3 linked regions of the Callithrix jacchus genome follow. The protein of the gene in region 2 interacts with the protein of the main gene of each other region in a biochemical or structural test. Links are inferred from orthologs where the notes say so. Each region holds a gene or a part of one and is shown on either strand. Other genes may lie near its edges.

Region 1 (10,337 bases), on a different chromosome or scaffold from region 2:
GTGACTGGGTGTCAAGAAGGATTGTCCCCAGAACAAGTCATCCAAGGGACCAGGAGTGAGGGGCAAGGCTTCTTTTGACCTAGTCTGAGGAGTTCCAGAACGTCACTACCACCAAGTTATATTGGTTAAACAAGTCACTGAAGCCAGCTTAGATTCAGAGGGAGAGCAAATAGGCTCTACCTCTTAATTTAAGGAGTGGAAGCATGTATGGGATGATAAAGAACAGATCAAGATTTCAAGATTATCTTTGGACATGTTCTCCTCTGTAATAAGGTGGGGATTTAGAACTTATCCCCTGGAATGCCAATTCAATGTGTTCCCACTGTAACCCACTGCTTCCAACATTTGTTTTGTGTATTATCTACCCTCCCACTCCTGCTGGATAGCAGAACAGGAAGGAAAACCTCCACAGAAAGGCAGTCTTAAATCACATGGCCACCAGTTCACCAATCTTGCTTGTTGCACTCTGGCAATTGTTACTATGTGTAGCTTGGCCAGACTGATCCCTCAAAGACTAGCAAAGGAGATGGGAAAGGGATCTGGTTTAAGGAAAATGAGATGTGCAAAGGAAACATAGGTGTGGAGTGCTGGGTGTTCTTCATCCCGGTTAAACAAACCTACTTCTCTCATGCACAGTGCTTTGCATTTGAAATAGGGTCATTCCTACTCTCTTCATTGTTTTATTTAACAGGAATGAAGTTCTGCTGTGCTGTTATTCCTTCCATTAGATAGAAATTGTAACAAATGGTAATAATATCCCAGTTACTTGGGAGGCTGAAGCAGGGTAATTGCTTAAGGCCAGATGTTTGAGACCAGCCTAGGCCGCATAGTGAGACCCAGTGTCAAAAATAAAATAAAATGAATAAATGAGGGCCGGGCGCGGTGGCTCATGCCTGTAATCCCAGCACTTTGGGAGGCCAAGGCAGGCAGATTACTTGAGGTCAGGAGTTTGAGACCACCCTGGCCAACCACCCCATCTCTACAAAAATACAGAAAATAGCCAGGTGTGGTGGTGGGTGCCTGTAATCCCAGCTGCTTGGGAGGCTGAGGCAGGAGAATCACTTGAACCTGGGAGGTAGAGGTTGCAGTGAGCCGAGATCGTGCAATTGCACTCCAGGCTGGATGACAGAGACTCCATCTCAAAAAAAAAAAAAGTATAATAATGTTGATGATGGCCCAGTGTCTTGGTCATTTCTAGTACTTTATACATTGATGCAACATGTTTTAAAATATCTTTGGAAATATTAATCTGGAGCCATAAAATCTTTTATACACTTTGGCCCAAGGATTTCCTGTTTGGGAACCTGTTTTAAGAATATAATTTAGGGAGGCCAAAGTGGGTGGATCACTTGAGCTCAGGAGTTTGAGACCAGCCTGGGGCAACATGGAAAAACTCTATCTCTAGAAAAAATAGAAAAGTTAGGTGGGTGTGGTGGCCATGCTTATAGTCTCAGCTACCCGAGAAGCTGAGGTGGGAGGATCACCTGAGTCTGGTAGGTGGAGGCTATAGTGAGCCATGATCACACCATTGCACTACCCCCTGGGTGACAGTGAGACCCTATCTCCCAAAAATATATATTATTTAAATTATGGATTTATATCCAAGATGATATAAATCACAGTGTCGTTCATTAACAGTGAAAAATTAAAACAAACAAAATATCCAGCAGTGAAGAAATGAGTAAACATGTTTTGTTCTGTATGCTGATCAATGGCTATTTTGCAGCCATTAAAAATGACTGGCCGGACACGGTGGCTCATGCCTGTAATCCCAGCACTTTGGGAGGCTGAGGCTGTCAGATCACTTGAGATCAGAAGTGCGAGACCAACCTGGGCAACATGGCAAAAACCCTGTCTCTACAAAAATTACAAAAACTAGCTGGGTGTGGTGGTGTGTGCCTGTGGTCCTAGCTACTCGGAAGGCTAAGGTGGGAGGATAACTTGAGCCCTAGGGGCAGAGGTTGCAGTGAGCCAAGATTGTGACTGCACTCCAGCCTGGGTGACAGAGCGAGACCCTGTCTCAAAAAAAAAGAAGGAAAGGAAGAAAAGGAAGGAAGGAAAGAAGGAAGAGAGGGAAGGAGGGAGGGAGGGAGGAAGGGAGGGAGGGAGGAAGGAAAAATAATAGATTGTAGGAAGGAAGCTAAAATAATAACATTGTTTTAGGATTGTCAACATATGAGTAATTTTTTCTTTGTTTTTGCAAATTTTTTGTCATATAGTTTAGAACTTTTTGCATTAAAAAATAAAATTATAAAATGTTTGTTTATCCTTCCTCATCTTTGAGACCTCCAAATTATTTACTGCATTTAGCATGGAATTGTCTTAGGTCTTGGCAATACATCCCTATAATGCCTCCCACCATCTCACCTTCTCTGCATAAATTGTCCTTTTGGGTATTTTTGCCACACATTGAAAATCCTGAATTAGGTACTTTACACTGCCTGGGTTACCTAGCCTTGCCGCCAAATGTGGTTTGCTTGTGAAATCTAAAGATTTTAACAAAGTCTAAGTGAAACATAATGTATGATTTAGCTATGAAAAATTGCATCAGCTGGGTCCAGTGGCTCATGCTTACAGTTCCAACACTTTAGAAGGCTGAGGCAGGTCGGTCACTGGAGCCCAGGAGTTTGAGACCAGCATGGGCAACATGGCAAAATCCCATCTCTACAGAAAATATTTTAAAAGTAGACGGGTGTGGTGGTGTGTTCCTGTGGTCCCAGCTACTCAGGAGGCTGATGTGGGAAGACTGCCTGAGCCTGGGAGGTTGAGGCTGCAATGAGCCAAGATCGTGCCACTGCACTCATCTTGGGTGACAAAGTGAGACCCTGTCTCAATAAAATAAATGAATTAAAACTGCATCACTGGTTCTTTTTTTTTTTTTTTCCAAGATGGAATCTTGCTCTGTCACCTAGGCTGGAGTGCAGTGGTGTGATCTCGGCTCGCTGCAACCTCCACCTCACAGGTTCAAACAATTCTGCCTCAGCCTTCCGAGTAGCTGGGATTACAGGCACACATCACCATGCACGCCCGGCTATATTTTTGTATTCTTAGTAGAGACGAGGTTTCACCATGTTGGCCAGGCTGGTCTTGAACTCTTGACCTTATGATCTGCCTGCCTTGGTCTCCCAAAGTGCTGGGATTACAGGCATGAGCCAACGTACTCGGCCCCACCACTGGCATTTCAAGACTGCTACAGATGATTTTTAAATTGTCTAATGTTTGGCATTCTTGAAGTTGCTGCCTTTTATTTTATGTTGAGATAAAATAAAAGAGTGGGAGTGAGAGCACCTATGGTTTTTTTCAGTATGTTCACTTTTTCCTTTTGAATCTCCTGGCTTCCATTCTAAAATTGTGTGAGAACGGCAATTGTTTAATAAGGGAATGTCGATAGTTGTCTCCGATTATAGGAGGTGTTTTGTGGTTGTTACTAGGGATGTACACTGACACTTCCATGTTCCTTGTGCCTTTTAACTAGCAAGGCAGAGCGTGAAGTAAAAGCATTGGCAGAACTTGATCATGTAAATATTGTTCACTACAACGGCTGTTGGGATGGATTTGATTATGATCCTGAGAGCAGTGATTATGATCCTGAGAGCGGTGATTATGATCCTGAGAACAGCAAAAATAATTCAAGGTAACTAAAAAGAAATTCTCATAATCATAAGAAGATGGAAGGAAACTGTTATTTACTCTGTGTGGGCCACTGGATAAGGCCATTAATTACTGCAGTTAATAATCACAATTCCCTCTGAGAGACACTTATCTCTCCATTCCGAAGGTAAGGAGAAAATGAAAATCTCCTCCTTGTTCCTCTCCTTGCTGCAGACTTGCTCTCACAACCCTTTGTTATATCCTTAGCTGTCTTCAGAAATCTCAGGTTCAGCTTTCCTGACACCACTGTGTAATGGAGGGCCTTGTGTATATGCTGGTTTCAGTACAGGCTGTAAATGTCGTCTTGTGGAGAGAGTTTTAACATATAGATGCTGCATCTGGGGGCTCCCTCCTCAACTACCAACACTTTTCTATCCCTCTCTTAGGCTGTGATTGGTGTGGTGCAGTTCAAGGGTTTCTTTGAAATGTAACTATACCACTTAGGCTGGGGTGGTGGGCAGTGAAAATAATTTTAAGACCACAAGCTGAGATGGGGGCACCCTTATGTTTTATGTCAGGTAAGCCACTGCCAAACAACTGGAAATCCTAAAGAGCTGGCATCTGTCTTTGAAAGTCAACCCACCTATTTTGGGGATAGTCCTCTCACTAAAATCCTGAGGCCAATGGGGTCCTGTTCATTCATTTTCTCCTGCCCCCACCTCCGTCTCTACCTCATGTAACTGAGAACTTTATCATCAGTTTCAGGACATACAGAACTTAAGGTTTCAGCAAATTCTTGGCTACCTTTTCCTGTTTTCAAGCTGACTTATACCAAGAATATAAATTAATATTGAGGCTAACTTAATTCAGAAAAAAAGTAAATCAATCTACGAGATTTATATCTCGTAGTAATTTGTTGGCACTTCTCCTAGAGTACCTTTCCTATTGTTTCAGGTTTGCTTTTCCCTTACTCTCTCCTATTAGACTATTATCCCCATGATGGCAAGGATAGTGTCTAACTCATTTTCTTATCTCTAGGTACCTTTCATGCTCAGTAGTTGGATGATGAACTAAAAGGTTTCAAATTACTTTATATAATAATGAAATTTAGTTTCCTGCAACTCTATTATATTCATGTTCCTATTTCTATCTATTAGCAAAGATGATTGCAGATCTTCAGCAATAAAGAATGGGTGGCTCATTTTTTTTCTTCTCTTTTTTGAGACAGAGTCTCACTCTGTCACTCATGCTGGAGCACAGTGGCACGATCTTAGCTCACTGCAACCTCTACCTTCTGAGTTCAGGTGATTCTTGTGCCTCATCCTCCTGAGTAGCTGTGACTACAGGTGCTGCGCCACCACACCCAGCTAATTTTTGTATTTTTAGGAGAGACGGGGTTTCACCATGCTGCCCAAGCTGGTCTCAAACTCCTGAGCTCAAGCAATCCTCCTGTCTCTGCCTCCCAAAGTGCTAGGATTATAGGCATGAGCCACCATGCCCGGCCCAGCTCATATTTTATAAATTAGCTAAACAAATAAAGCTCTGGACATCTGGGAACTTATGATTGAAATAAAAAATGGTTTATTATATTTTGATTCAAATTTATTATATTTAGATTTCTATTTTGAGACATGTTTTGGAGTTCTTTTTTTGTTTTGTTTTGGAGTTCTTAAGAAGATAAGGTGTAAGCTTTTAAAAAGATATGATTTTTTTAATAAATTTATATTTATTGTTACTTTTAACATACTGTGAATTTTATACCCAGATCAACGACTAAGTGCCTTTTCATCCAAATGGAATTCTGTGATAAAGGGACACTGGAGCAATGGATTGAAGACAGAAGAGGCAAGAAACTAGACAAAGTTTTGTCTTTGGAATTCTTTGAACAAATAACAACAGGGGTAGATTATATACATTCAAAAAATTTAATTCATAGAGATCTTAAGGTAAGCAGAAGTACTTTATTAGTTGATACATATAATTTACTAATTTAAAAATATATCTTCTTAACTGGACACAATGGCTCACACCTGTAATCTTAGCACTTTGGGAGGCTGAGGCGGGTGGATCACCTGAGGTCATGATTACAAAACCAGCCTGGCCAACAGGGTGAAATCCTGTCTCTACTAAAAATACAAAAATTATCCAGGTATGATGGTGTGTGCCTGTAATCCCAACTACTTGGGAGTCTGAGGCAGGAGAATTGTTTGAACCTGGGAGGTGGAGGTTGCAGTGAGTGGAGATTACACCACTGCACTTCAGCATGGGCAAAAGAGTTGAGATTTGAGACTCAACTTGAGTTCAGCCTTGAGACTCACCTCAAAATATATATATATATGTACATATGTGTGTGTGTGTGTGTGTGTGTCTTTAGTTTTAGAATGGTGGTTGATTGATAGTTATGAGAAAATGATATTTCTGATCCTCTAATGTTAGAATGGGTCTAGAACTAGCCCCAGATGTGGTTCCATACAGCTACTCAGAAGATCTCCTGGGCTACCTAGTGAAGTTATTGTGACAATGAGCCCTGTTAAAAGTCTCATTCACTTCTCATTCTATGTGGGTGATAGTCATACCCAGATGTAAGCACTAATAGCTGTCAAATACTGAACATTTCCATGCAAATAATTACTGTGACTGGCACAGCCACCTGGCTGCTCTGTCCCTGCTTCTCCTGCCTCCTCTAAGTGACTCAGGCTTATTTGAGAGGCAGAAGGGACTCTGTTGACTGTGGCTTTAGGAATATGGTTCCCTAATCTCTCAGTCATTACTCTTGAAGGCTGTCACAGCTCTTGGGTCAGGAATCTATTGTCTTGATTAGGCATTTCAACCCCATGACTGGAAAATTGCAGTAATCCTAAACTGGGAAAGTGTATCATCCATTAGTATTTTTGTTTTCCTCTGGCTTTCATGGTCTGGACAAGTAGATTCCCTGCTTTTACTTCTCATCAAAATGACAGAAGGTGAGAGACCGAATAGCCCTTCACAGCCTTTTCTCCATTCCATATTCCCTGTGACTTACCTACACCTGTCACAAGCTGGCCATCCTAAATCCTGTCCCTGGGCCTTTGCTCATGTTCACTCTCATGGGACATTCTTCTACCTGTCCCCTTTGGTTGTAATTTCTTTCTGGAGCCTTTTCTGGTCAGTCTGGAACTGCCTTTTTCTATTCTAGGCAGAAGTACCTCATTTAGGTGGCTATCTGTTTACCCCACTCCTCTAAAACAGCCAGGAATAAGGAAGGAAACAAAAAATTCCTTGAGAGAAATAAGTGCCCATATATACAGTTGTTTATTGGCTCAGATATGAATGAGTAGCACTTAAAAGGTATTGCTTCTGTGGTCTGCTCAGAGGCTGGCTGCCTGATGTGTTGGTGTTTTGAGTCTGCCTGGTTCCAATATGTCTCTTCTACAATATCTGAAGGTGTTATTTGAAGTTGCAATATCGTCAAGACTATTTCAAAAGGATAATTGTAGAGTGGTTATACTTTCACTTTGGGATAAATCACACATATAGGTAAATAACAAAATAAGCACAATTATTTCTATATATAATGATTTGCAAATAAATGCAGAAGTGTAGGCATCAAGTTCCTAATCTTCAGAATGAATTAGCAAAATTCTGACTGGTGCCTATCCACTTATTTACCAATTGTACCCCGCACTGTGTACTCTGTGTCATAGACTGGTCTTTCCTTGCATCTATTTGCAGAGAATTTTTGCTCTGGCTACGGTTGCTCAAGGGTCAGACTTAATTATTTTTAAATTAAAACAAATTTTTTGAGACAAGATCTTGCTCTTTTGCCCAGGCTAGAGTGCAGTGGTATGATCATGGTTCATTACGGCCTTGATCTCCTGGGCTCAAGCAGTCCCCCGACCTTAGCCTCCTGAATAGCTAGGACCACAGGTGTACACCAGCACACCTGGGTAATTTTTTGGTTTTTTGTAGAGACAGGGTCTAACCATGTTGCCGAGGCTGGTCTCAAACTCCTAGACTCAAAACAATCCTCCTACCTCAGCCTCCCACAGTGCTGGCATTCCAGGTGTGTTCCACTCCACTTGGCCTCAAGCTTTGATAGTGAGACTTCTTTCATCTTCTGTCACTTTTCTAGCTCTCACTACTACAGCTGTTGATTTCTCTCTTCTAAGAAAAGATTCAGTGAAGGTGTACACTTTTGGGGTTATGCTTTGCAAAATAGCAGGTGTAGGTGGTTTTGCCAGAGAATGGTCTTTACCCAATCCAGTCCCTCTTATAAAAGTCTCCAAATGTTTACCACTTTCTGTTGGAATCTTAGAAACTAGACCAAAGGTGCTGGGAGGGGACATAGGGGTTTCTGGAGTGAGGGCGTTTGTCCGAGGCTGCTTCTCTCTAAAATGTTCAGTCTCCTAAAGCCCCGGCTCTTTGGCTGTCCTTGGCCTGAGCATCAGCCCTGTTCCTGTGCCTCCTATGTGAAGTTTCACGCCTTTTTTATGCTCTACGACCCTATATTTTATCTAGTCATACTATAGCTGATTAGACAAAATGTGGCATTATTGTTTTTATTTCTTTTTTTTTTTTTTTTTTTTGAGACAAGTTCTCACTCTACTGTCCAGGCTGGAATGCAGTGGCATGATCTCAGCTCACTGCAGCCTCAACCTCCTGGGCTCAAGTGATCCTCCCACCTCAGCCCCCAAAGTAACTGGGACTGTAGGCACAGGCCACCAAGCCAGGCCAATTTTTGATATTTTGTAGAGACAGTACTTCACCATGTTGCCCAGGCTGGTCTCAAACACCTGAGCTCAAGTGATCTTCCAACCTTGGCCTTCCAAAGTTTGGGATTACAGGCATGAGCTTCTGTGTCCAGCCTCTTATTCTTTTATTTTCTTTCTTTCTTCCTTTCCTTCTTTCTTTCTTTCTTTCTTTCTTTCTTTCTTTCTTTCTTTCTTTCTTTCTTTCTTTCTTTTCTTTCTTTTCTTTCTTTCTTTCTTTCTTTTCTTTTCTTTTTTTTTTTTTTTTCATGAGACACAGTCTCACTCTGTCGCCCAGGCTGGAGTGCAGTGGAGCAATCTCGACTCACTGCAACCTCTGTCTCTTGAGTTCAAGCAATTCTCCTGCCTCAGCCTCCTGAGTAGCTGGGACTACAGGCACCTGCCACCATGCCCAGCTAATTTTTTGTATTTTTGGTAGAGACCATGTTGGCAAGGTTGGTCTTGAACTCCTGGGCTCAGTCTGCCCACTTCAGCCTCCCAAAGAGCTGGGATTACCATGCCTGGCCCACTTTTTCCTTTTAACAAACTATAAAAAGTGATCTGATATTTTTACTACAGAGTCTCATCCAGCTTGGATATTTACAGTTTCTTAGAGTCAGGCGAGATAGCCTTATATGGGACCAGCAGTTTCACTTGCAATCCCAACATATTCCTACCTGTAACTTGAGCATAGCATAGGAATCTTTTCTCTCCACATCCACCCCACGTCTGTCTTCAGTCTTCCGTCTGTATTATTAGTGTTAGGCTCCAATCTGTTAATTGAATTCTACCCATTTTTATTAATACCCATTTTTAGAATGAAGCAATATTCCTGTTCTCTCTCCCTCTTTTTCTTCCTCTTTCTTCCTCTCCTTCTCTCCTTTTTTTACTTTTCAACATCCTAGTTCCTCACCTCTACTCAATACATTCCTCTGAACACCTGATTCCTTGTGATTCTCTGAAACCTCCAATCCATAAAAGAAAAAAAAAATGAATTCTAATCCAACTGCTAATTTCTGCATGGCCGTCATCTCAGGCTGGCTTCTTGGAAGCTCCTCCTTCAGCCTTTCCTGGGCCAATAGTCTCTTCCCTCTCAGGTTCTTTACTAGGTAGGCCCTCTCATAAGTGTGTTATCCCACAGTCTGTTTGTATATAGCCTAAGATTGTACTAAAAGTCCAGCCTTTTCAAAAATGGCAAAATACTAGTTTTCTCATCAACTACGTTTCTGTTTTTATGGTCTTTAGAATGTTGGTCACTATGGCTTCAGCTTGGTGGCCTGTGGTCCCAGCTACTTGGGAGGCTTTGGTGGGAGGATCACTTGAGCTGAAAAGGTCAAGGCTTCAGTGAGCCATGATCACACCACTACAATCCATCCTAGACAACAAAATGATACCCCATCTCAAAAACAAACAAACAGAATATTAGTCAATACCTCCTATGGGCTGGGCATGGTGGCTCATGCTTGTAATCCCAGCACTTTGGGAGGCCAAGGCAAGCAGATCACTTGAGGTCAGGAGTTTGAGACCAGCCTGACCAACATGGCAAAAACCCGTCTCTATTAAAAATACAAAAAGATTAGCCAGGTGTCGTGGCACACACCTGTAATCCCCCAGCTCCTTAGGAGGCTGAGGCAGGAGAATTGCTTGAACCCAGGAAGCAGAGGTTCTGGTGAGCCAAGATCACACCACTGCACTCCAGCCTGGGCGACAGAGCAAGACTCCGTCTCACAAAACAAAACAAACAAACAAAACACCTCCTATAAAGCTATGGAGTCAGAATGACCACTTCTATTCAGTTCTTCCTTTTTTTTAAAAAAAAAAAATCTGCTTAAAGAATTGCATGGATAAAAAATATTTCAGAGCTAGTTATCATCTTCCAATTAACTTGGTATCCTTTCAAGGTGGAAGGGATATGTTTAAGAAGTTGTCAGAGGCTTGGAGAAATTGACATAAAAAAGACCCCCAAGAGGCCAGGCATGATGGCTCACGCCTGTAATCCCAGCACTTTGGGAGGCCGAG
Region 2 (11,094 bases):
TTTCCCTTCCACAATGTACAAATTCTCTCTCAGTGCCACACAGTCCCCTCCCCTAGGGTATAGGGGAGGGGTGGTGTTGGCAATTCAAGATTGCCTTTCCTATTTTCTTCAATGCCTCTGTCAGCAATATGCAGTTAAAACCAGGTACTGTGATCGTTCACCTGATTTTTGGTTCTTATGAAGGTGCTTTTTTTGTGTGTAAATAGTTGTCAAATTTGGTGTTCCTGTGGGGGATGGTGATCAGTGGAGGCTTCCCTTTGACCATCTTGCTCCGCCTCCCTCATGTTATTTTCAAAATACATTTTGACTATCATTGTCATTTAATTATTGTGTTTATAACATGTATATTTAATACAATTGTGTTTGTATGTTTGGATTTAGATGTGAGAATCTGGAAAATAATAAGTCCTTATATTTGTGTTATTACAAAAATTTTCTAAGATCAAAACTATTTAAAGATAAAAGTGTTTACGTCACTTAATTTAGAAATTAAGAATGTTTAAATTTTGAAGAGTTTACCCATTGTATATAAAATATAATATTGTACTTAATTGCATATAAAGTTCGAAGACACACAGCTGCCTTTAAGTCAGTATTAACACATTCCAATGGCCAAATATTCATCTATTTATTAGAAACAGTGCATGAACCTTTTACAATACAATTTTTACAGTTTATAGTCCAGAACTGTGATGTTAGGGAATCTTTAAATCACACTTCAAAACTTTCATCTCATAACAACACAACCTATTATTTAAATGGACTCACATTTTAAAAATAAAAAATACAGTGAACATCATTTTTCTTTCTTTTAGATATCTTGATAGATTAGTTGGACTAGAATATAACTAGAATGTGTATGTAACAACAGATATTTTAAAAATCAAATAACCTACAATTTCCAAAGTGAGAGAAAAAGAGAACATCAAAATGAGGAGAAAAGAGCTGGCTTAGGCAACTATTATCTCTGTAAAGGGCTAATTCTCTTTCTTCTGCAAGGAGAGGAGATAAAATTTAATGCAGAAAAACTCATTTGGGCACAAATACACAAAAGGGAGTCACTGCAATTGATTTAAAAATACTCAGACTCTTTACAATATTTTAAATGAACTTCTATTGCTGAAACCATTTTCAACTAAGAGTATAAAAATAGTAGAGAGAGGTCCCAAATTCCCTTTCCTTACTTTTTCCCTATGTTAGCATCTTGCATAACCATGGTACATTTGTCAAAATTAAGAAAGTAATAATGGTACATTACTATTAAACTTGAGACTATTCATATTTCAGTAGTTTTTCCACTGATGTCTATTTTCTATTCCAGGATCTGGTTTAAGACAGCACATTGCACTCAGTCATCAACTAAGTCTCCTCAGTTTCCTTTGGTCTGTTACAGTATTTCAATCTTTCCTTGTTTTCCATGATGTTGATAGTTTTGAGGAATACAGGTGTGTTATAGAATGTCCTTCAATTTTAGTTTGTGTGATTTTTTTTCATGTTTAGACTAGATTGGGTTATAGGTTTTGAGAATACCACAGAGGTGAATTGCTCTTCTCATCACATCATATTGGGAGTAAATGCTATCAATATTTTCTATTTTATTGATGATTTTAATCTTGACTACTTGGGCAAGATAGTGTTTGTAGGTTTCTCTACTATGAAGTCACTCTTCTCCTCCTTTTCCATACTCTATTCTTTGGAAGTTAGTCACTAAGTCTAGCCTACATTCAAGGAAGGAGGGAAAATGAGCTCTACCTGGTGAAGGGGGATGTATTGTGTCATGTTGAATAATGGCTCTCAAATATTCTACATTCCAACATCCTGTCATTGTTCTATAGCAAAAGGCAGTTTTGCAGATGTAATTAAATTGAGGAACTTGAGTAGGGAGAATATCCTGGATTATCTCAGTGGGCCCAATATAACAAGAATCCTTATAAGGGGGAGGCAAAAAGGTAAAAACGACAGAAGATAATGTGAATACAAAAGTGGAAATTGCAGTCATGTGGCTAGACGCCAAGAAACAACAGAAAAGAAGGGAAAAGCAGAGAAGACACGATGTGGTTTAAAAGCCAAATTTTATATGAAGGTACTGAAATTTTATCAGAATCCACAAATCCTTGAAAAGAAACAGTAAATTTGACATAGAAGGGTCATTTCTCATTCATCAGACTGGCAAAACCTGAAAATCAATTATCGTGATGGTGAGTATATAGGAACATAAACAGCTGATAGAAACAGAAAATTACTTTTTTTTTTTTTGAGACAGAGTCTCACTCTGTCACCAGGCTGGAGTGCAGTGGCACAATCTTGGCTCACTGCAACCTCCACCTCCTGGGTTCAAGCAATTCTCCCACCTCAGCCTCCCGAGTAGCTGGGACTACAGGTGCATGCCACCACGCCCAGCTAATTTTTGTATTTTTAGTAGAGATGGGGTTTCACCATGTTGGCCAGGATGGTCTCGATCTCTTGACCTTGTGATCCGCCCACCTCGGTCTCCCAAAGTGCTGGGATTACAGGCTTGAGCCACTGCGCCCGGCCAAAAATTACTCTTTTAGGGAAAAATCATCTGACAATGCCTCTTAAAAGTTAAATGCATTCGTTGACTAAGCAATTTCAATTTTAAAAATCTAGTTTTTTTTTTTTTTGGTTAAGGTCTCACTCTGTTGCTCCCTCTGGAGCGCAGTGACATTGTCTTAGCTCACTGCAACCTCAAACTCCTAAGTTGAAACTATCCTCTGCCTTGATCTCCTGAGTAGTTAGGACTACAGTCACGAGCCACCACACTTGGCTAGTTTTTAATTTTTTTTGTAGAGACAGGATCTTGCTATGTTGCTCAGGCTAGTGTCAAACTCCTGGCCTCAAATAATCTTCCCATCTTGGCTTCTCAAAGCACTGAGATTACAGCTGTGAGCCTCTGCGCCTAGCCTAGAAATGTTTCTTGGAAACAAAAGCACAAGTTTGTAAAAATAAATGTGGAAGGATGTATATTGTGACATTAATTTAATGCTGCCTTTTTTGTTTTTAATTTGTTACAAACGGTGTTTATAAGTGCTCTACTTGTTTCTGAACATTTGTTTCTCCTCATAGTTAATTAGTAAGCACATCTTATCCCCTTTACCTCCAAAATATGTTCTAGATCTGTTCACTGCTCTCTATCAAGTTTTTCCTAGTCAATAAACATAAATCAACGTATTAAAAATTATACAATACTCTTAATTTTGGATATATCGTAAATATGCTACCATTGTTTTTAAAATCTTTAACAGATAGTATGAATTACAGTATAGATTTAATGTTTAATTTCAAAAAGACTGCATAGATTCTGACAAATGCAAACGATATTTACAATTACTTTTCTTACAATCACTGAATAACTTTGGTTTTTGGTTTTATTGGCAAAAGGGATTAGTGAAAACCATGGCTAGATGAACATTGGAGCAAACATTCCCAAGCATTATACATATAATTGTAGTTTTTTACACTTATTTCTGTCTAAAGTAATGTTACCATCTTTGTTATAAAATTATCTTTTACGAAAAATACTTTGTAAAGCTTAGTTCTAATATTACATAATTCATAGTTATGTAATTAATGTTCAAAATCACTCAGCATTGAAGACCCTTGCTATTTTTATTTTCTATAACACGAAGTCTATCGCCTCCTTAATAATTTTCAATTTCCATCCTTAGAATTTCTTCAGCTCCGCTACTTTTTCCTTAAGACTAGGGTCATAGGCAGCACACTGGTGAAACTCAGTCTAGGAGTACTGCATTTTGTTTACAAAGCTATTTTCTATGGTCCGCATTTTGTTGGCTGCCTTGGCTACAGGACCTCAACTGAATGTCTTCACCTGTGTATTTGTGGATATTGAAGCCATCGGCAGTTTTTCAGAGACACTACCTTGTGATATCGAAAAACGCAAGACAAAAACAAAACAAAACAAAACAAAAAAACCCAAGGAATTTCTGGAGTCTCTCTTCACTATTTTGCTAGTGTTTGACTAATGAGTAACACTGGTATAACATTCTACAATTTACAAGATCATTTATTTGCTTCATGAAACCTCAAAACAGACCTTGGAGACTATCAGGATCCTACCCACTTTACAGATGAAGATAACTTGCATAATAGTGGTGGCGTTTCCTGGATCTGAATCCTTTACTCTTCACATTATATTATGTTTCCTTCCCCATAACTAATAAAGAACTCCGTTTTTTTCTTTCTCGGAACAATTTCTTCCATATTAGTTCCCTTTTAAAAGCCCCCTTTAGTATGTCTTCGGGGAATCACAAATTCACTATACTATTTATAATTCATGAGTTTCTCTAATAGTATCAAGGCAGCAAATACAGGTGAAGTAATAAGTATGCACTTGACGGTACTTAACACACACAAAGCATTGTTTTACCCCGTGTAAAAATACTGTTAGTGTACAGTGTGTGTGCTGGTGACGCCGGAGGAAGTGGCCAAGAACAGGCGTAAGACCGCATTGAGTAACTTCATCTCGCTCAAGTTCATATCTATCTTGAATTTCCCCTGGTAAGCCCAAGATGCAGGATCCCGTCTCACATTTTTTTTTGTTTTCTTAACAGTTGACGTTGGCTGCGCTCAGGAACGCCTTGCTCTCATAAGCCACAGTGCCTTTCTGGTCTCTTCTTCACAGGGTTTTCTACGACCGCTTTTTTTTTTCCAGGGCACGCTGGTTTGCTGAAAGTTGGGGTTCCACAGCCGCTCTTTTTTTCCTGGGCACGCTGGTTTGCTGAAAGTTGGGGTGGGTGGTTCCCAAGTTTCCAGGCCAGTTACTTACCTGCCTCAGAGCAATTACGCACTTCTCCCTGGTTGTCCCTGAAATGGTCTAACCATCAGATCGCCCTAATTAACTAAGCCCCAGCTTCTCCTGGCCGTTTCTTGCTTACGGCTCAGTTCAGACAGTAGTTGTTCCGGGACGCTCAGCAGGAGGCTGTGTTTCCCGGTTCACTCGAGACCTCAATTCCAGGCGTCCTGCAGCTCCTCTCGACTCCCCAGGAACGCGTTTGGCCTTCCCATTCGGACGCTGAGGCTGCGCCTTCCACTCCTAACACCTCGCGGGCGAACCACAAATGGATCAAATCATTCTACTCGCCAACCTAGCACAGCGGGACTGGCCCAAAAGGGCCGTCTCAGCCTGCGCATGCGGGCTCGGCGGCCGCCACACACTCCCCATCCGCCTCCCTCCCGGCGGCCGCGGCGGTTTGGAGATAGCTGACAGCTCTGCGACCCGCGGACGCAGCCTTGTCTCGTGCTTCCACGTTACCCTATCAGGGATGGGGCGGGGCGGCAGCCTCCGCAGCCTATCAGCGCGAACCACGACCCAGGCGAGCCCGGGAAAGAAGAGGCCAGGAAGAAGGCCATTGGACGGCGGCGGAGCTCCGGGGCGTAGCGTCGTCCGGGCCCCGCCCACAGCTGCCTTTCTCCGCTGGGCGCCAGAGACGCTGAGGCCTGAGCTGGAGCCGACGCGGGCGGGCGCAGCTGCTGCCAGAGTGCCGGCGCGGGCTGGTGGGCCACACACCGTTCCTTCTCCTCACTCGCGAGCCCTCGGACATGGTGGCCCCCGGCTCCGTGACCAGCCGGCTGGGCTCGGTGTTCCCCTTCCTGCTGGTCCTAGTGGATCTGCAGTACGAAGGTGAGTTCTGCCCTGCCCTGCCCTGGCCGGGAAGCGGGCTCCCGGACCAGGCCACCAGCGCTTCCCCGTGTGCGCCCGGGCGCGTGTCCCAGGACTACTCAGGAGGTGGGGCGAGCGCCGCGGCCTGGATTGGGCCTGAGCCTTCGCCCAGTTCCGGGTTTGCCTGGGGAAGAGTCGAGGGGACTGGCGGGCCGCGGGGCTGGGACAGTGGGTTTGGAGTGAGGAACATGGCCCTAGGGGTCGGAGGAGACGGGGTGCGCCCCGGGGCGGGGAGCGGGGCCACCGGGCTGCGACTTCAGGACGTCCTGGGACGCGGAGACTTGGGCAGCTTTCGGGTCTCGGCCTCGCTTGGGACCCTCGGTGGGCGCCTGGGGACACTGGCGGTCATTGGTGCTGGGAGGAACCACTGAGGTGGCCAAAAGGCTTCCTTCGCTCTGGAGTTCTTGGGCGGGGTAGGGTTGCCCTGTCCGGCTGGGAGTTGGAGAGGACGGTGTTGACTGTTTAAAAAGTTAGTAACCATTCGCATTACGATGCACTGTCGTGTGGAGAAATCGTTAGGTTGGTGCAACGAGGAGCCGCTGTTGGAATTCCTCCTCCCGGACGGCCAGGCACAGAGTTTATGGTTTTACAACTCCCAGCATGGTGTCATTCAACGTCTGGCTGGCATTTCTTTTCCAAGTTCTGTGAAGAAAAAGGTTCCCCTGAAAAGATAGGAGCGATTAAATTTCTCTTCAGTCCTGCAGACTGGAATGTTGGCTACTCCAACAGAATAACGAAAATAGAGGGCTGTCCTAGCTTAGATGGCAGAGGGGAGGAGGAAGAATTGAAGCTGATAGTGCCGACTTAACGAATGCTCCTGGCGAGGTTACTGTGCGAAATATTCGAGTATAATGACACATCACATGCACGGATCTATTTTCATCCTCATAAAAAGGGCTAGTTGTCAAGGAGGTCAAATTAAACCTGAATATTCCATTCAGAGAGAACGAGGAGCTAAAAATTGGAAATTGTTTATAGTGAATTCCTCATAAATTATAAAAAATAAAAAGTTCTCAGCTTTTTATTTTTTTTTTTTTAGGTAGTACTCCCTAGTTTTTAGGTCTCACTCATAGCAATAGGCTTTTGCTTTTGGTTCCCCTGGTAACCATATTTTTTGAACCCCAAATCACAGCACATAGTGTGGCAACACTGGGACAAATAATTTAGCAGTAAGACTGCCCCCAGAAAATTTAGGGGATTGGAATTTGAAGGTCTCTACCACTTTAATATATGGGTCATATATTCTAATTCTTATGCATTGTCAAAAGCTTCATTCCTCCTGCCTCCCACCATCTGTAGTATTTATCTCCAGTTATCATTAATGATTTATTTTGGACACTTAAGAGAAAGTTGCCTATGTTCTGTTAAATGGTGTTTTTTTTTTTTGTTTGTTTGTTTTGTTTTTAAGTTACAGAGATGCACGATTTTGAATGATTGCTTTTCCCACTACCTTGTGAACCACCTTTTTAGAATTGCTGTTCTGTAAGATTCTGTAGGACTCTCTTCATTTCCCTCCTGTGCTATTTTCGATAAGAAAACCTCATTAGAGAGCTTTTCTGTGTAGGAAGCCCTGGTGACATTTCTTAGAGGAGTGCCAGAGTGTCTTTAGGAGCATTGTTTGTGTAAAGTAGCAGGGACTTGGTACAGGTGACAGAGAGGAAAGGAAAGGAGCCTTTCTGTAAGCCGTCTCTTATTCATGGAAGTGTGTAGTGTTATTCCCACTTTACAGACCAGGGAACTGAGGCTCCAAAGGTTTTACTAAAGTTCATTTTGTGTGCAGGCTGGAGACAGAAGTTAAGTGGTTGAAAGCATGTGAGTCCAAGCATTTGTAAGTGATGGCAGCTGAGAAAAAAACAGCACCTTTTTTTTTTTTTTTTTTTTTTTTTTATAATTAACAAGAAGGTTATTTCCGGCAGGTTTAATATAGTGGTTCTCAAACTTGAGTGTGCATCAAAATCGCACATGAGGGCTTTCTAAAACAGAGTGATGTACCTCACTTACAGAGTTTCTGTTTCATTAGGTCTCGATGGGACCTGAAATTTTGCGTTTCTGGAAAGACCCCAGATGACCACATTGGAGAACCACTGGTGTAATAAATTATATAGAGGAGTTAAGTTAGGTGTCTGCTGTGTATTTGATACTGGATTTGGTGATGGGGTTATAAAGGTAAGAAGCCCTGACTTGAATTAGCAAACTGTTAGCTCCCGTTTTCCTAAATAAATTCTGTGTCTGGATTCACTAACCTCATAGTTCTCTGGTATACAAATGGTGCTACTGCTAGGCCTGAGGCTTAATGAAATTGTGTTGTATTAAGGATTTTTGTTAAATAGGTAGATTTTAGCTGCTCTTGTCACACAAAAAGTAATTATGTGAGATGATAGATATATTAATCTGCTTCACTATTGTAACCATTTAATCTGTGTGTATCTCCTAATACTATGTTGCAAACATCAAATGTACACAATATAATTCACTTTAAAAAAAATGAAGGAAAATGGTTATGAGAGAAGTGAATGTGGAACGAAGAGTGGCACAGGATGGAGAAGAGATGACCTAGGTTTTTTTTTCTTCTGATTTTGAAATACTTGCCTCTGTTTTCTTCTAGACTTTTTGGTTGTCATCCAGAGACAGGAAGTATATATATCATGAATTGAAAGTTTGAGTCTTTTAGCACCCTTCCTTCTCAAAGGCCTTTGAAAGAGTGAAGTCTAAAGCATTAGATGAAGTAGAATTTTTGGAATAGAAAGAAAACTTTAGTAGTATCTGCTTTAGTATTCTCATGTTACAGATAAGGTAGTTACTTCAGTTCTTTGTTAATGGTTTGTTCTGTTGGTGACTTGAGTAGCAACACAGTCTGGGAAACAAACCTTTTTCTGTTATCATAGTTTTATCTCTTTCTCTTCCTTAACATGCTATCTAGACTCATCTTTTCTTTATTTCACTGAGCTGATTAAACCATATATTTTGACCAGTTGAAAATCTATATGTGTAAAAGTTTGTGATAATTTTATTTGAACCTAGCCTACTAAAGGTATGTTTTGTCTTCTCTAGGATTTTCTTGACATTATTGAAATATAGAAAGAATAAATAGTGTAGCAAAATGACTTTAAGTAATTTATATAAATTAAGCATTATAAAAGGTGGTCTAGAAAAATATTTTCTAGAATTATTTTAAATTCTTTAATAAGATAAACTATAGTTAGCAGTAGTATCAAAGTTCCAGTTCTCTTGACTAGTTACTATTTGCTGAGACTGCGCGGAAATTCAGTGGGGCAGGGGGAGTTGTTCTGAGAGGGGATGCACTGTAGTAATTAGGTTTTACTTTCCCATATGAAGTTAGTTGTTGTTAAGTTTAATTTCTGCTGTGATTGATTAATGTCCTTATGAACAAATTAATCTTTGTTCATATGGAAATATCATGGGAACCCATTCACCTGCTCTTCAGAACTCAAGCTTTTCAATGATAGATTTATTTTTCTTTCCGTATCTTTAGAAAGCTACTTAAAAACTTAAATCTGATGAATTTGTATCATTTGGAGTTCTGGAAATATATATAAGAGTCATTTAATCAGTCAGCAAATTGTACTAACTATATTGTCTTTGGTGAGATATATATACATAGTATAAAAGTCATGGCTTTTGCTTTTTTTACAGACCACTTGGGGTTTAAGATATGCATTTGTGAAGCATCCATGTCTGCTTTTTCTCCTTTCTCAGTGTAGACCGAGTGGTCCATCGTTGTAGTTAGTACACTGCAAATGACCATTTATTTATTGGTCCCTATAATCTTTTGTTTTACTTGCCAAAACCCAGGACTAGTTAAATTCAACTTGGCCAGTTCTTATTATACCTCACAGGTGAACATGGATGGAGGAAAAACACAACTTTGCTGATAAGTCTCATTTATCTTTATTTTAATTTTTAATTTTTTTTGAGACAGGGTCTTGCTCTGTCACCCAGGCTGGAATGTAGTGCCATTATCCTAGCTCAGTGTAGGCTTGACCTGGGCTTAAGCAGTCTTTTCATCTCAGTCTCCTGAATAGCTGAGACAGCAGGTGTGCACAACCACACCGCCCACCACTTTTTTTTTTTTAATTTTTGTAGGGATAGGGTCTTCTTTGTTGCCCAGGCTGGCCTTGAACTCCTGGGCTCAAGCAATCCTTATGCCTTGGCCTCCCAAATTGCTGGGATTACAGGTGTGAGCCAATGCACCTGGCCCTGATTAGTCTCATTTTAAAGAAACAATCTCAGTTGTAATTGCATGTTAAATACTACTAACATTCCTCTAATTCTTTAGTATGTCTATTCTTGAAAATCAGTATTTCAAGGATTTTCCTCCCTCCTTAAGCCTCTGATTTAAACTCTCCTTTCTTCTCTTCCCTGTTTATTCTTTTAGACCTGTCTTTATTGAGAAAATGAAAGCCATCACAAGGCAAGTTGTTCTTTCTTTTTCTTTCTTTTTTTGAGAGGGAGTCTTGCCCTGTTGCCAGACTGGAGTGAAGTGGTGCTATCTCGGCTCACCGCAGCCTCTGCCTCCTGGGTTCAAGCGATTCTCCTGCCTCAGCCTCCCGAGTGGCTGGGACTACAGGTGTGTGCCACCGCGCCTGGCTAATTTTTGTAATTTTATTAGAGATGAGGTTTCACCATGTTGACCAGGTGATCTCAATCTTTTGACCTCATGATCTACCTGCCTTGGCCTTCCAAAGTATTGGAATTACAGGTGTGAGCCATTGTTCCCGACCAACTTCTTTCTACCTCAGAATTTACTAGTGTATCTACATTTGTACCTATTCGGCTACTTTTTCTCATATTAAAATACTTAGAATGTCTCTATTCCCAGATAAATCTAATCTGTGTACTTAACAACCTGGATTCCATTTCCTCTCACCTTCTGAAAATATTGCTCCTACAGTTGTATCTTTGTGCTGCTGTAACAAAATACAACAGACTGAGTAATCTATTTATTTTATATGTATATATACATATATATTTATTGCACTTTAGGTTCTGGGGTACATGTGCAGAACAGGCAGGATTGTTGCATAGGTACATACATGGCAATGTGGTTTGCTGCCTCCATCCCCATCACCTATATCTGGCATTTCTCCCCATGTTATCCCTCCCCTACCTCCCTACCCCCTGCTGTCCCTCCCCTGGTCCCCCCCAACAGACCCCAGTGTGTGATGCTCCCCTCCCTGTGCCCATGTGTTCTCATTGTTCAACATCCACCGATGAGTGAGAACATGCGGTGTTTGATTTTATATTCTCGTGTCAGTTTGCTGATAATGACGGTTTCCAGATATATCCACGTCCCTACAAAGGACACAAACTCGTAGTTTTTTATGGCTGCATAGTATTCCATGGTGTATATGTGCCACATTTTCCCAGTCCAGTCT
Region 3 (11,068 bases), on a different chromosome or scaffold from region 2:
GCTATACCCAAGTGAGTCCCTGGAGGTACTATAGCTCCCCAATACAGATTTTTTTGTTTCTGGATATTAATACAGGGAGAGGGGTGATACAACTAGGATGGCGTTTGCAAGGATCTGATAAGGGAGACACTGAAGAACATAAATACATGATGGTTCTCATTATATCTCAGAAAAGATATAAATGTCTGGCAAAATCTGGGTGGGCTGATTGAAGAAGCAATTGGAGAAGGCAGGATATCATATAGTTTAGAAGCAAAGGTAGGCTCTTATTGAGTCACAAGGGACCCTGCTGAGATCCAATCCCAAAGAGCCTAGTGAAACTTGCTGGTGATGATGTCTGCAAATAGCAGGCAAGCTGAGCAGCGTTTGTAATGTAATGAATGACAATTCCCTAATAGTACCCCATTCCTTTATTCGGTGTCCTCAAGTCATTTAGCATCCAGATTTATCCAGGCATTTCCAAAGGCAAGTATAGACTTTGACTAAAAAATGGATCTGAGAGAAAGGTTCTGGGAAGGAGGCCCCAGGTAAACATTCTTCCCAAATGATAACGTTTCATTGAAGACTCAGTCAGGGTCAGAATTCAGAAGACAGCAGAACCATCCACATGTTTTTTTTATAAGTTACAGATTCGGTGAACATTTTATTCTTTCTCTTTTTGATCAATACTAGTGGGGCAAATGGAGCAAGGTAGGGTGGGGTGATGGAAGGGGAGAAGTACATAACATCAGTGATAGGATAACCTGCCCCAGAAGGCATGTATTTCTTTCTCAGCAGTGGCATAAAACATTTCATGTGAACTCTGAATTAGGATGGGCATGGGGGTGGGGACAAAGATCAACCTAAAAGCCAAACAGAGTCATTGACCAATTGTGTTAAGCTTGAGAAAGTTTGCAGATGGCCAGCTCTCTTCCTGACATCCCACAGAAAACCAGGCTTGATCTGTGGTTAGGTGGAGGTTCTCCTACCAGGGAAAATACAGTTGCTAGGATAATGGGCTTTGGATGCTATAGCTCTGAAAAAGTTTCATGACTCTTGGTACCAGAGGTAACCAAATTGCCTCCTTGAGAAACTGCTGACACTGGGTGCCTCTGGGGAGTGCAACTCATGGTGGCTACGGGTAAGAGGGACCTTTTCCTGCCCACGCCCCTTACAAAAAACAAATCAACACATCATCCCCCCATGTTGCCCCACCAAATTCTTGAGGATAAGAAGGCAACCTGGGGCCAGGGCTACAGCAGACAATTTCCTTACTCAGCAGCTGAAGTGGGGAGCTGGAAGAAGGATCCAAAAAATCAGAGAGAAGAATTGTAAGTTAAGTGGAAAAACTTCAATAGACTCAAAGGTCTATTGAAGGATCAGCATACCAAAATGACCAAAAGCAGCTAATGAAGGTGTGACCCGGGACCAGAAAACAAAGCAACAAGGAAATAGAGGAGTAAGAGCAAACTGGTGCATAATAAATTGAGAGGTGTCTTAAAACAGCCAAGGGGAAGAGCCTGGGGTGTGAGAGACACATAGCTAGATGTGTGAGACTATGGGACCAGGAGCTCAAGAGGCCTAGGTAGCAAGGTGCAGGCCAGGGCAAAACGTGGATCAGCAACGAAATGGATTTGGTAGGTGAGCACATTAGGAGTAGTCATATAAGAACTTTCCTGTCTGGGGATGCCTAGATCATGCTCTACCCTTGGGTTTAGATTCTGAGCAGCCAAATGTGAATGGTTTGCTCTGGGTAAGTCCTTTTCATTACAGCCACCTGGAAGCATTTGAATTCACACTCCTGATTACCTGCTTCTGGTTGCTGTGTCTAAACCATGTCTGAACCAGCATAGCTCTGGTACTCTATACTACAGCAAGGGTCTTGGTCCAGCATCATTGGCAGGGACACACCAGCACTGTTCATAGGACTGGAATCAAACCCAGAAGTAAGATGTCTCAGGACTTCTGGGTTACAACAGGTTAGAAGCAATGCCTGTAGGCAGGGTTGTGGGATCTTGGCCTGGGTCCAGAAGCATATAAATCGGCAACAATTACCACTGGGTGGGCCTCATTAAGGATTAATATAAGTTCAGCAACAAAGACGCAAGAACTAGTGATGAGGACTTTGTTCCTAAAGTGCAGTGTCCGTGGTGCCAAGTGCTTGTGGGCAACCCAGAGCCACATCTGATGTAAGAAGACTTAATGGTCCTGAAATGGAATGTCTAGAAACTGTTAAGGAGCTAAGGTCTATAAGCTGTTGCTTGGTTTAAGAGTTCTTATATAGTATCTTCACTTTGTGGGACAAGGTCTAGCTTTCAAGGTGCCTCAGAATTAACAGGTGTTAGCTGGGGATGGTGGCTCATGCCTGTAATCCCAGTACTTTGGGAGGCCGAGGTGGGTGGATCACCTGAGGTCAGGAGTTCGAGATCAGCCTAGCCAACATGGTGAAACCTCATCTCTATCAAAAATACAAAAATCAACCGGGTGTAGTGGTGCATGCCTGTAATCCCAGCTCAGGAAGCTGAGGCAGGAGAATCACTTGAACCCAGGAGGTGGAGGTTGCAGTGAGCCGAGGTTGTACCACTGCACTCCAGCCTGGGCAGCAGAGCAAGATTCCATCTCAAAAAACAAAACAACAACCACCACCACAACAAGAACAGGTGTTAATGAGGAACTTGTAATTTTTGCAGGTGAGTAGAGAAAGTGAAAGAACAGCACTAAAAGTAACCGTGATGAATAAGTAAGTGATGCGCCTCTATTCTCAAGCAATATTGTTTAAGAGGAGCTGGTATACATAAAAATCCTCGAGTAAAACAAAGACACTGGCCAATTCTGTGAAATGCTGTTACCAAACCCCTGCCCCTGAATGTTTCTAGTCTATGTGGTATTCCTTGGAACCCACTTGAGAAAAGTTCCATTCCATAAATCCTGGCAGAGGTAGGAAGAGAAGAAATGAACGAGTTTGAACTTGCAGAATCTGCTTGTTGGAGGTTCCGACTGGAAAATCAGATATCAAATTGGTTGTTACAAACCAATTCACAGACTCAGGAGAAGCAATTTATCAACTGGCATAGAGTTGGAGGCATAGGAGAAGAAGCAAATGTCATCATTTTCTACTGATGCAGGTTTGATGCCTCATGCTGTTCCACCTGCTTTCCCTAATTTCACAGTCCCCTGTCATACCCATCCTCATGGATCCAGTTCAAGAACCATCTCATCCATGTAGCCCGTCAGCTCCTGGAGATATTGTTTATAACTTCCACATTGTCAACGTCCAGCAGTGTTCTAAAAACAGCAAGTTCTTAAAACTATAGGCATTAGTTACTAAAAACAGGCTGCTGTATGGGAATCCACACATAGGTATCAGGCTCCCTTAATTCAGGGTCTACAGAACCACCTGGTCTTCCTCCCCACACATCACAGCTTAGGCCTGGGTCTCCAGGTTTATATTTTCTAGGACCAGATCCTCCTTTTCCAGCATAGGATACCCAAATGAATGGGGGTCCAAAGCACAAGACTAGAATGAAGCAAACCCAGCTCTTCTGTGAGGTGCAGGCCTGAGAGAAGATCAGTATTGGTGGCCATCCCCTCCTAACGCGCTCCCACTGAGTCATCTGGGCCAGATCAGCCCTTTGGGCTAGCATTGCTCAGTAGTACCAGCATCCCACTGCCTTCTGTACCATACCTCAGGCCCTGACTGCAAAGCAGGATGAAACTGTAAGCCTTCTTTTGGGGTCCTCCCAGAACAGCATGTCTCCCTGGGCACAGAGATACAGATCCAGGAGATCCTGTTCCTCACTTCTCACTGGCATGATCCTGAGGCAGAATGTTGAGAACAAAGGAACAGGACTCACAACAAGCTAAGGTCTGGGCAGAGAAGAAATTCAAACTTGTTGAGCAAAAAAAAAAAAAAAATCAAGAACAAGCAAGTACCAGAAGGCAACAGCCAGAAGTTCTTCAAAGTTGTGGAGAACAGCAAGGAGGATGGTTCAACAGTCCAGCAAAGAGTAATGAGGAGGGCCATGACATACAGGGAGGAGTAGCAAAGACTGAAAATAGGTGAGCAGCCAAAGAAGGTGCCTAACAGTGAGGCAGCTTCCTAGTTCTGGTTCAGCTAACTCACGTTCCTCTCACCATGGGGTGAACCAATTCTCAGCTACCCTGGGGGGAAGGCTTGTTGAAGATGAAGCCTGAAGAAGCTGGCTGGCGGGGTAGTGGACTCTGGGATGGGATACGGGCAGGGGCATTTCCCCACCAGCTTCACCCTTGAGATGACTCCATGTTTCAGAACCTGTTACCTTTTTCCTCAAACATGAGCTATTTTTCCTAGTTTCCTTTGAAAGATCGGACTGAAAGTCAAGTTTTCGTGGTGTAGGCTCACCCTTCAAAACACCGGAAATAACTTTGGCAGAAATCTTCCTCATGTTCAAGTTTTCTTTCAAAATGAGCCTAACAGTTTCTTTGTCTAAATTTAACTCTTCAGCCATCATCCTCACAGTTAACTGCCTGTTTGAACAAACCAAGTCCTTGACCTTCTGGATATTTTCATCTGTCCTGTGGGTGACTGGACGCCCACTTCGGGCGTCATCTCGAACATCTTCCCGTCCTTCTTTAAACCTTTTGTGCCAGTCAAAAACTCTGGCCCTTGACATGACTTCATCCCCATAAGCTTCTTTTAAAAGATGGTGGGTCTCACTTGCAGACTTATTCAACTTCACGCAAAATTTGATACTAATCCTTTGTTCTAAATAGCGGTCACTCATTCTGGCACTGAACAACACAGGAGCGTTAACAGGCCACGACTGTGAGGGAAAGACAGATCAATCTCTATAGGGCTGTAGGTGTAATAATATCGCTATTCTTGCTTTCCTAGAAGCCTGGTGAGGAAAGAGTAATTGCGTTTCTGAGATTTTGTCCCTCAGCTTCCAGTCGAGACTAGGGAGATCCGTTCTGGGAAGCTAACAGGGCCAACAGTCGCTGCAAAGCTGGAAAAATCAAATCTCCTACAACCACGTCTGCATCCAACCAGTGCACGCACATCTGCCAAGATTCTGCCAATCAGTCACCAAGGTCGCCCCGATTCCGCGGCCCTTAAAGAGTATATGGCGATTTCTGCAAGAAAGGTCTAAGTGGTGGCAACTAAAGCAAGCAAGAAGAGGTGCATAGGTGATGTAACGTGCAAGCTCGCCCCAGATCTGCAGAAACCCGCGCACGCCAAACCTACCAGAGCAGCCTGGGGCTCGCCTACTCTAGGAGCCAGGGAGACAGGCGCGCATGCGCAATTCCCTTCCCTCGCGGATTAGACTGTGCGCAGTCGCACTGAGGCAGCGCGCGCCAAGTCCCGCCTCCGTCTTGTCACACGCCGCCAGGCGCGCTTCGTTGCGCATGCCCGCCTGCGGAGAAGGCGGAAAGGAAGGGCGGGGGAGGAAGGCTGAGGGAAGAGAGGGCACCCCCGGGCGTCAGGGTGCATTGTGGGAAGGAGGCGGCAGCGTCTCGGGCGGGCGGGAGGTGCACAAGCGGCGGCGGCGGCGGTAAATCCTCCCGGCCGCTCACAGCACTGTGGAGCCGCGTCCCCAGCCCGGCCTCGGACCGCGGCACCCCTCCTGGCCCTCGCGGCTTTCCGCCCGCCAGCCCCTCCCCCGCGCGCTGGCCCTGCCGAGCCGGCCGGCCGGCCTGGCTTCCCTCCCCGTCCCCGACGGGCGGGCGGACTGCCCTGAGGAGGCGGGGAGGGGAGGGCTGGGCCGGCCGGCAGGCGGGCTACGATGCCGAACTTCTGCGCTGCCCCCAACTGCACCCGGAAGAGCACGCAGTCCGACCTGGCCTTCTTCAGGTTCCCACGGGACCCGGCCAGGTAAGTGGCGGGCGCGGAGCGGGCGGCCCGGGCCCACCTCGGCGGTGAGCGCTGCCAGCCGCCGGCCCCAGGCGGGCTCCCGGGCTGAGAGGGGCGTGGGAGAGGGGCGCAGCGCACTGCCGTCGACCCCAGCTTTGGACCGAGATGGGGAAGCGGCCGTCAGCCGTGGACGGGCGGGCGTCCGGGGACCTCGGAGCACGTGCTCTGGCGGGGGCTCGGCGCAGAGGGCACCACCTCAAACGTTAGGGAGCTGGGGCTGCCCGCGGACGCGGGATGCGGTGGGTTCTCGCCGTGGCTCACTTGCTGTATGACCTCGGGCGAGTCGTTTACCTTTCTGGGCTTTAGTTTCCTTAGCTGTCAAAAGAGAGCAGGACTCTATGGTTGTGGCCATTGGGGCCCTTCCCTCTCCTTGCCACCACCCCCGGGACGGTGTTTCTGTTTTGATTCCCACTGCCTTCTTTCGTCACAGCTACTCTCTCCTTCGGACTTGTCATTGCACGGTTCAAGGTTCATTTTCTGGCTGTTACCGTTACTCATTTTCTCACTTGGTTATTGTAGGCATAACAGGGTGTACGCGTGGGGCGTGGAATTGGTATTGGAACCCCTTCCTTGAGATAACCCCCACACACTGACTTATATTTAGGGAGTGGTAGCGTAGGGACCATGTTTGAAAGGCCGAGATGTTTCGTAGGCCTGTCTTGTTGGTTCATTCTTCAAAAATCAATGCCTACTATGTGCCGAGCTCAGATGTTAGGTGCTGGGAACTCATGGGCAAATAAGGGTGTCACTGCATGCAGAAAGCTCTCAGTCCATTAAGGGAACAGGTACAGCAACAGGGGATTATAATGTAGTGCGTTATTTATTAATTAGTTCAATAATTAATTATTGAAGGTCTACTCTGTGCTTGGCATTATTGTGAGCAATGGGGGTTACAGATGAACACATCGAAGTCCTTTCTCATGAAGATTACATTCTATTGGCGTTGGGGGGGGGGTCGGGGAATAAACAAGTAAAATACAAAGTGTGTCGGATGATGATAACTACTGTGGAGAAAAACAAGCAAAGGTTAGAGGGTAGGGGAATAAATAGTACCAAAAGACGCACAATTGCTATTTTAAATAGAGTGGTTAAAGAAGGCCTCACTAAGAAGGTGAATTTGAGCAAACACCAAGTGAAGGGGCCAGCATGGAGATAACCTTGGGCAGCAGCATTCCAGACTGTGGAAACAGTAAATGCAAAGACAGGGCAGCCAGGAGTCCATGGGAAGGGACTGGGAGAGAGGTAAGATGAAACCAGAAAGGTGTGTATATGGTAGGGCAAATTCTGTAGGGTAGGACATTGTAGGTGTACTATGGTTTTTATTCTGAGTGAAATAGCAAGTCATTGAAGGGTTTAGAGAAGAGCCTTAAATTTTAGCAGGCTGAGTGGCTGCTCGTTAAATAGATTGTAGGGAGGTAAAGGTGAAAGCTGAAAGACTAGTTAAAAGGCTGTTGCAATAATTCAGATTAGTAGAGGAGGAGGTGGCAATTTTGAGATATGGTTTAAAGGTGAAGTCAACAGGTTTTGCTAATGGTTTGGAGGTAGCTTGTAAAAGAAAAAGAGAAGTCAAGGACGACTTCAAGATTTTAAAAATCTTTGTTGGCAGGGTTGGTTTGAACTCCTGGCTTCGAGCAAACCTCCTGCCTCGGTCTCCCAAAGTGCTAGAATAGGTTTGAGCCACCGCACCCAGCCGATTTCAAGAATTTTAACGTGAGCATTTGCTGAGATAGGGAAGACTGGGAAGAGCAGGTTTGGGTTTGAGAGGCCTGATAGGTATTCCAGAATAGATGTCTAGGCCGGCACATGGTGGTTCACGCCTGTAATCCCAGCACTTTGGAAGGCTGAAGCAGGTGGATCACTTGAGGTCAGGAGTTCAAGACCAGCCTGGCCAACGTAGTGAAACCCTGTTTCTGCCAAAAATTAGCTGGGCACAGTGGCTCATGCCTGCAATCCTAGCACTTTGGGAGGCCCAGGCGGCCAGATCACCTGAGTTCAGGAGTTCAAGACCAGACTAACCAACATGGAGAAACCCCGTCTCTACTAAAAATACAAAATTTTCTGGATGTGGTAGCACATGCATGGCACATGTAACATGGGAGGCTGAGGCAGGAGAATCGCTTGAACCCGGAAGGTGGAAGTTGTGGTGAGCTGGGATCATGCCACTGCACTCCAGTCTGGGCAACAAGAGTGAAACTGTCTCCAAAAAAAAAAAAGAAAAAAATTGGCCAGATATGGTGGTGCATGTCTGTAGTCCCAGCTGCTTGGGAGGCTGAGACATGAGAATTGCTTTAACCCAGGAGGCGGAGGTTGCAGTGAGCTGGGATTGTGCCACTGTACTCCAGCCTGGGGGACAGAGTGAGATTCTGTCTTAAAAAAGAAAGAAGAAAAAAAGGGAAGTCTTTCATTATACCATATACAGAAATGAACTCCAAATGACCTATACTTTTGTTTAGATCAAGGCCTAACTATAAGAGCTATACCATTAAACTTTTAGAAAAAGAAATACAGATAAGTCTTCATGACTTTAGATTTGGCAGCACATTCTAGTTTGTGTTTTGTTTTTTGAGAGAGCCTCACTCTGTTGCCCAGGCTAGTGTGCAGTGGCACAATCTCGGCTTACTGCAACCTCCGCTGCCTGGATTCAAGAGATTTTACTGACTCAGCCTTCCAAGTAGCTGGGATTACAGACGCCCACTACCACGCCTTGCTAATTTTTGTATTTCTTTAGTAGAGATGGGGTTTTGCCATGTTGGCCAGGCTAGTCTCTAACTCCTGACCTCAGGTGATCCGCCAGCCTTGGCCTCCCGAAGTGTTGGGATTACAGGTGTGAGCCATCATACTCATCCGGAGAACATTCTTAGATATGATCAAATTACATGAAATAAAAAGAAAGATAGACTAATTGGACTTCATCAAAATTAAACTTTTGTGTATCAAAGGACATTACCAAGAAAGTGAAAAGAATGAAAGAAAGTACTTGCAAGTAATTCACCTGATGAGGGCCTTGTATTCAGAGTATATAAAGAACTCTTACTGGCTGCCTAGGTTGTCTTTAAAATAAAATTTAAAAAAAAAAAAAAGAACTCTTAAAATTCAGCAACAAAAAGACAACCCAATTTAAAAATAGGCAAAGGACTTCTTTCCTTAAAGGAAAGATACAAGTGGCTAACAAGCACATGAAAGATGAAGCAATTCTCTTGCCTCAGCCTCTCGAGTAGCTGGGACTACAGGTTCGCACCACCACGCCCAGCTAATTTTGTATTTTTTAGTGGAGACATGCTTTCACCATGTTGGCCAAGATGGTCTTGATTTTTTGACCTTGGGATCCGCCTGCCTCGGCCTCCCAAAGTGCTGGGATTACAGGAGTGAGCCACCTCGCCCGGCCATGAATTTCTGTTTAAAAGAATGTTTATTGAGATGCAATTCACATACCATATAATTCACCCATTTAAAATGAACAATTTGGGATATATATGTTAACTTTAATTTTGTTTCAATACATACAGCAAAATTTGCTATATTAACTATTAAGTGTACAATTCAGTGGCATTTGTTACGGTCACAGTGTTGTACAACCATCTCCACTATTCCCAAAACCTTTTCATTATCCCAAACAAAAACTGCAACCATTAGGCAATAACCTCCCATTCCCCTGTCCTCCCAGCCTTTGATAACCTCAAATCCACTTTCAGTCTTTATAAATTTGCCTGTTCTAGGTTCATGTAAGTTGAATCATATACTATTTTTCCTTTTATTTCTGGCTTGTTTACATAATATGTTCAAGGTCTTTTTAGCCAACTCAAATCTGCTCGTACCCTGTGATTTCAAGTTCTACTGTATTTGATAGTTTCCTTTTCACTGTCCCCAGAGTTAGTTATAACAAAGAAGTAGTTTCCAGAGGCGTTACTGAATTAATAACAATATTTTTAGGGTTATTAGTTTTAACCCCTCCCATTTCTTCTGTAAACAGGTGGTAGGGAAGGTTGATAAAAGGGGACATTGTCAGTCTAGTCTTCAAATACTAGCTAACATTGTTAACTAGCAATAAAGATGAATATATTTAATGCTATTAAAACAGTACATTTCCCAGTAATCAGTTATAAATTCCATGCACCCTTTTAAAAACAGCTATTTAGAAGTAATTTAAACTTCTAGAGTGTAATTAATGAAGTGTACGATGTGGCAATACATAGCATAATAATTTTTATTGTTTTAGAAAAAGTGGCATTAATATGCTTCTTTTTTAAAAAGGTGAAATTATCAACCAGCTTAGGTCAGTGACAGGGTTTAAGTAAAAACAAAACAAAACACTGCCTGAGGTTGCAGTGAGCCGAGATCGAACCACTGCACTCCGACAGAGTGGGACTCCACCTCAAAAAAAAAAAAAGAAACACTGCCTATACTGCCTAAATCTTGATTGCCCCTGGGTGGCTTGCCTAATGCCAAGGCTTGCCACTGTGAGGCAGCTCACAGTGAAGCTCTTCCCTAAACCAGAATGTGTACAGGTAGAGGTAATGAATTGCTCTGATGAGAGATAGTTGCTCTCTCCTTCCTCCTCAGGCAGCTAGCTAGTACTCGCTCACCCAAGATGGGTGAGGGCTTCCAAGGTTCTGGCAATTTAATCAAGGCTGATTGAGAGTCGATGTACTCTACTTTGTGAAATGTAAAACAGAGGGGCGGGACTCATGAGGGTGCCTGTATTAGTGCCTTTGGGCTGCTATAAGAAAATACCTTAGACTGGGTGATTTTTAAACAACAGAAATTTATTTCTCATAGTTCTGGAAGCTGGAAGTCCGAGATGAAGTCAGCAGCAAATTTGGCGTCTGATGAGGGCTCACTCCCAGCCTCTTAGATGGTGCCTTGCTGTGTTCTCACATGGTGGAAGGGGCAAACAAGGTGTCCCCCACACGACTTAAGTCACCTCCCAGATGCTCACCTCCCAACAGCACTGCACTGAGATTGTTTCAACGTGAATTTTGAGGGGACACAGACATTCAGAACATAGCATTCCCCTACACCTTTCAGGGAGTCCACAGTGTCAAACCTTTTCATGATAACACTGATATTATTTGCATTTTTCATATTCAGTCTCTCAGGATTGGACAGTGGAATATTGGGAGTGCTACATAACATGATGGACCATTGCTTTGATAAATTGTGTATTGTGTCTTCTAGAATTTTCTAAATATTCACATCTGG

The links.
Region 1: the proteins of DNAJC3 (region 2) and EIF2AK2 form a complex in vitro, tested with the Homo sapiens proteins (2 studies listed by BioGRID). The link is inferred for Callithrix jacchus from reciprocal best matches to the Homo sapiens genes DNAJC3 and EIF2AK2.
Region 3: the proteins of DNAJC3 (region 2) and THAP12 form a complex in vitro, tested with the Homo sapiens proteins (2 studies listed by BioGRID). The link is inferred for Callithrix jacchus from reciprocal best matches to the Homo sapiens genes DNAJC3 and THAP12.

What each region holds. Positions count from the first base shown.
Region 1 is NC_133515.1:77,859,229-77,869,565, forward strand, and holds part of EIF2AK2 (interferon-induced, double-stranded RNA-activated protein kinase), read left to right. Parts: intron 1-3,475; coding exon 3,476-3,634; intron 3,635-5,356; coding exon 5,357-5,537; intron 5,538-10,337.
Region 2 is NC_133502.1:11,414,895-11,425,988, forward strand, and holds the start of DNAJC3 (dnaJ homolog subfamily C member 3), read left to right. Parts: upstream 1-5,470; 5' UTR 5,471-5,577; coding exon 5,578-5,659; intron 5,660-11,094. UniProt on the Homo sapiens protein: Involved in the unfolded protein response (UPR) during endoplasmic reticulum (ER) stress.
Region 3 is NC_133511.1:64,615,738-64,626,805, forward strand, and holds the start of THAP12 (52 kDa repressor of the inhibitor of the protein kinase), read left to right. Parts: upstream 1-5,608; 5' UTR 5,609-5,741; coding exon 5,742-5,830; intron 5,831-11,068. Other genes in the region: protein GVQW3, read right to left, coding at 4,278-4,742. UniProt on the Homo sapiens protein: Upstream regulator of interferon-induced serine/threonine protein kinase R (PKR). May block the PKR-inhibitory function of DNAJC3, resulting in restoration of kinase activity and suppression of cell growth.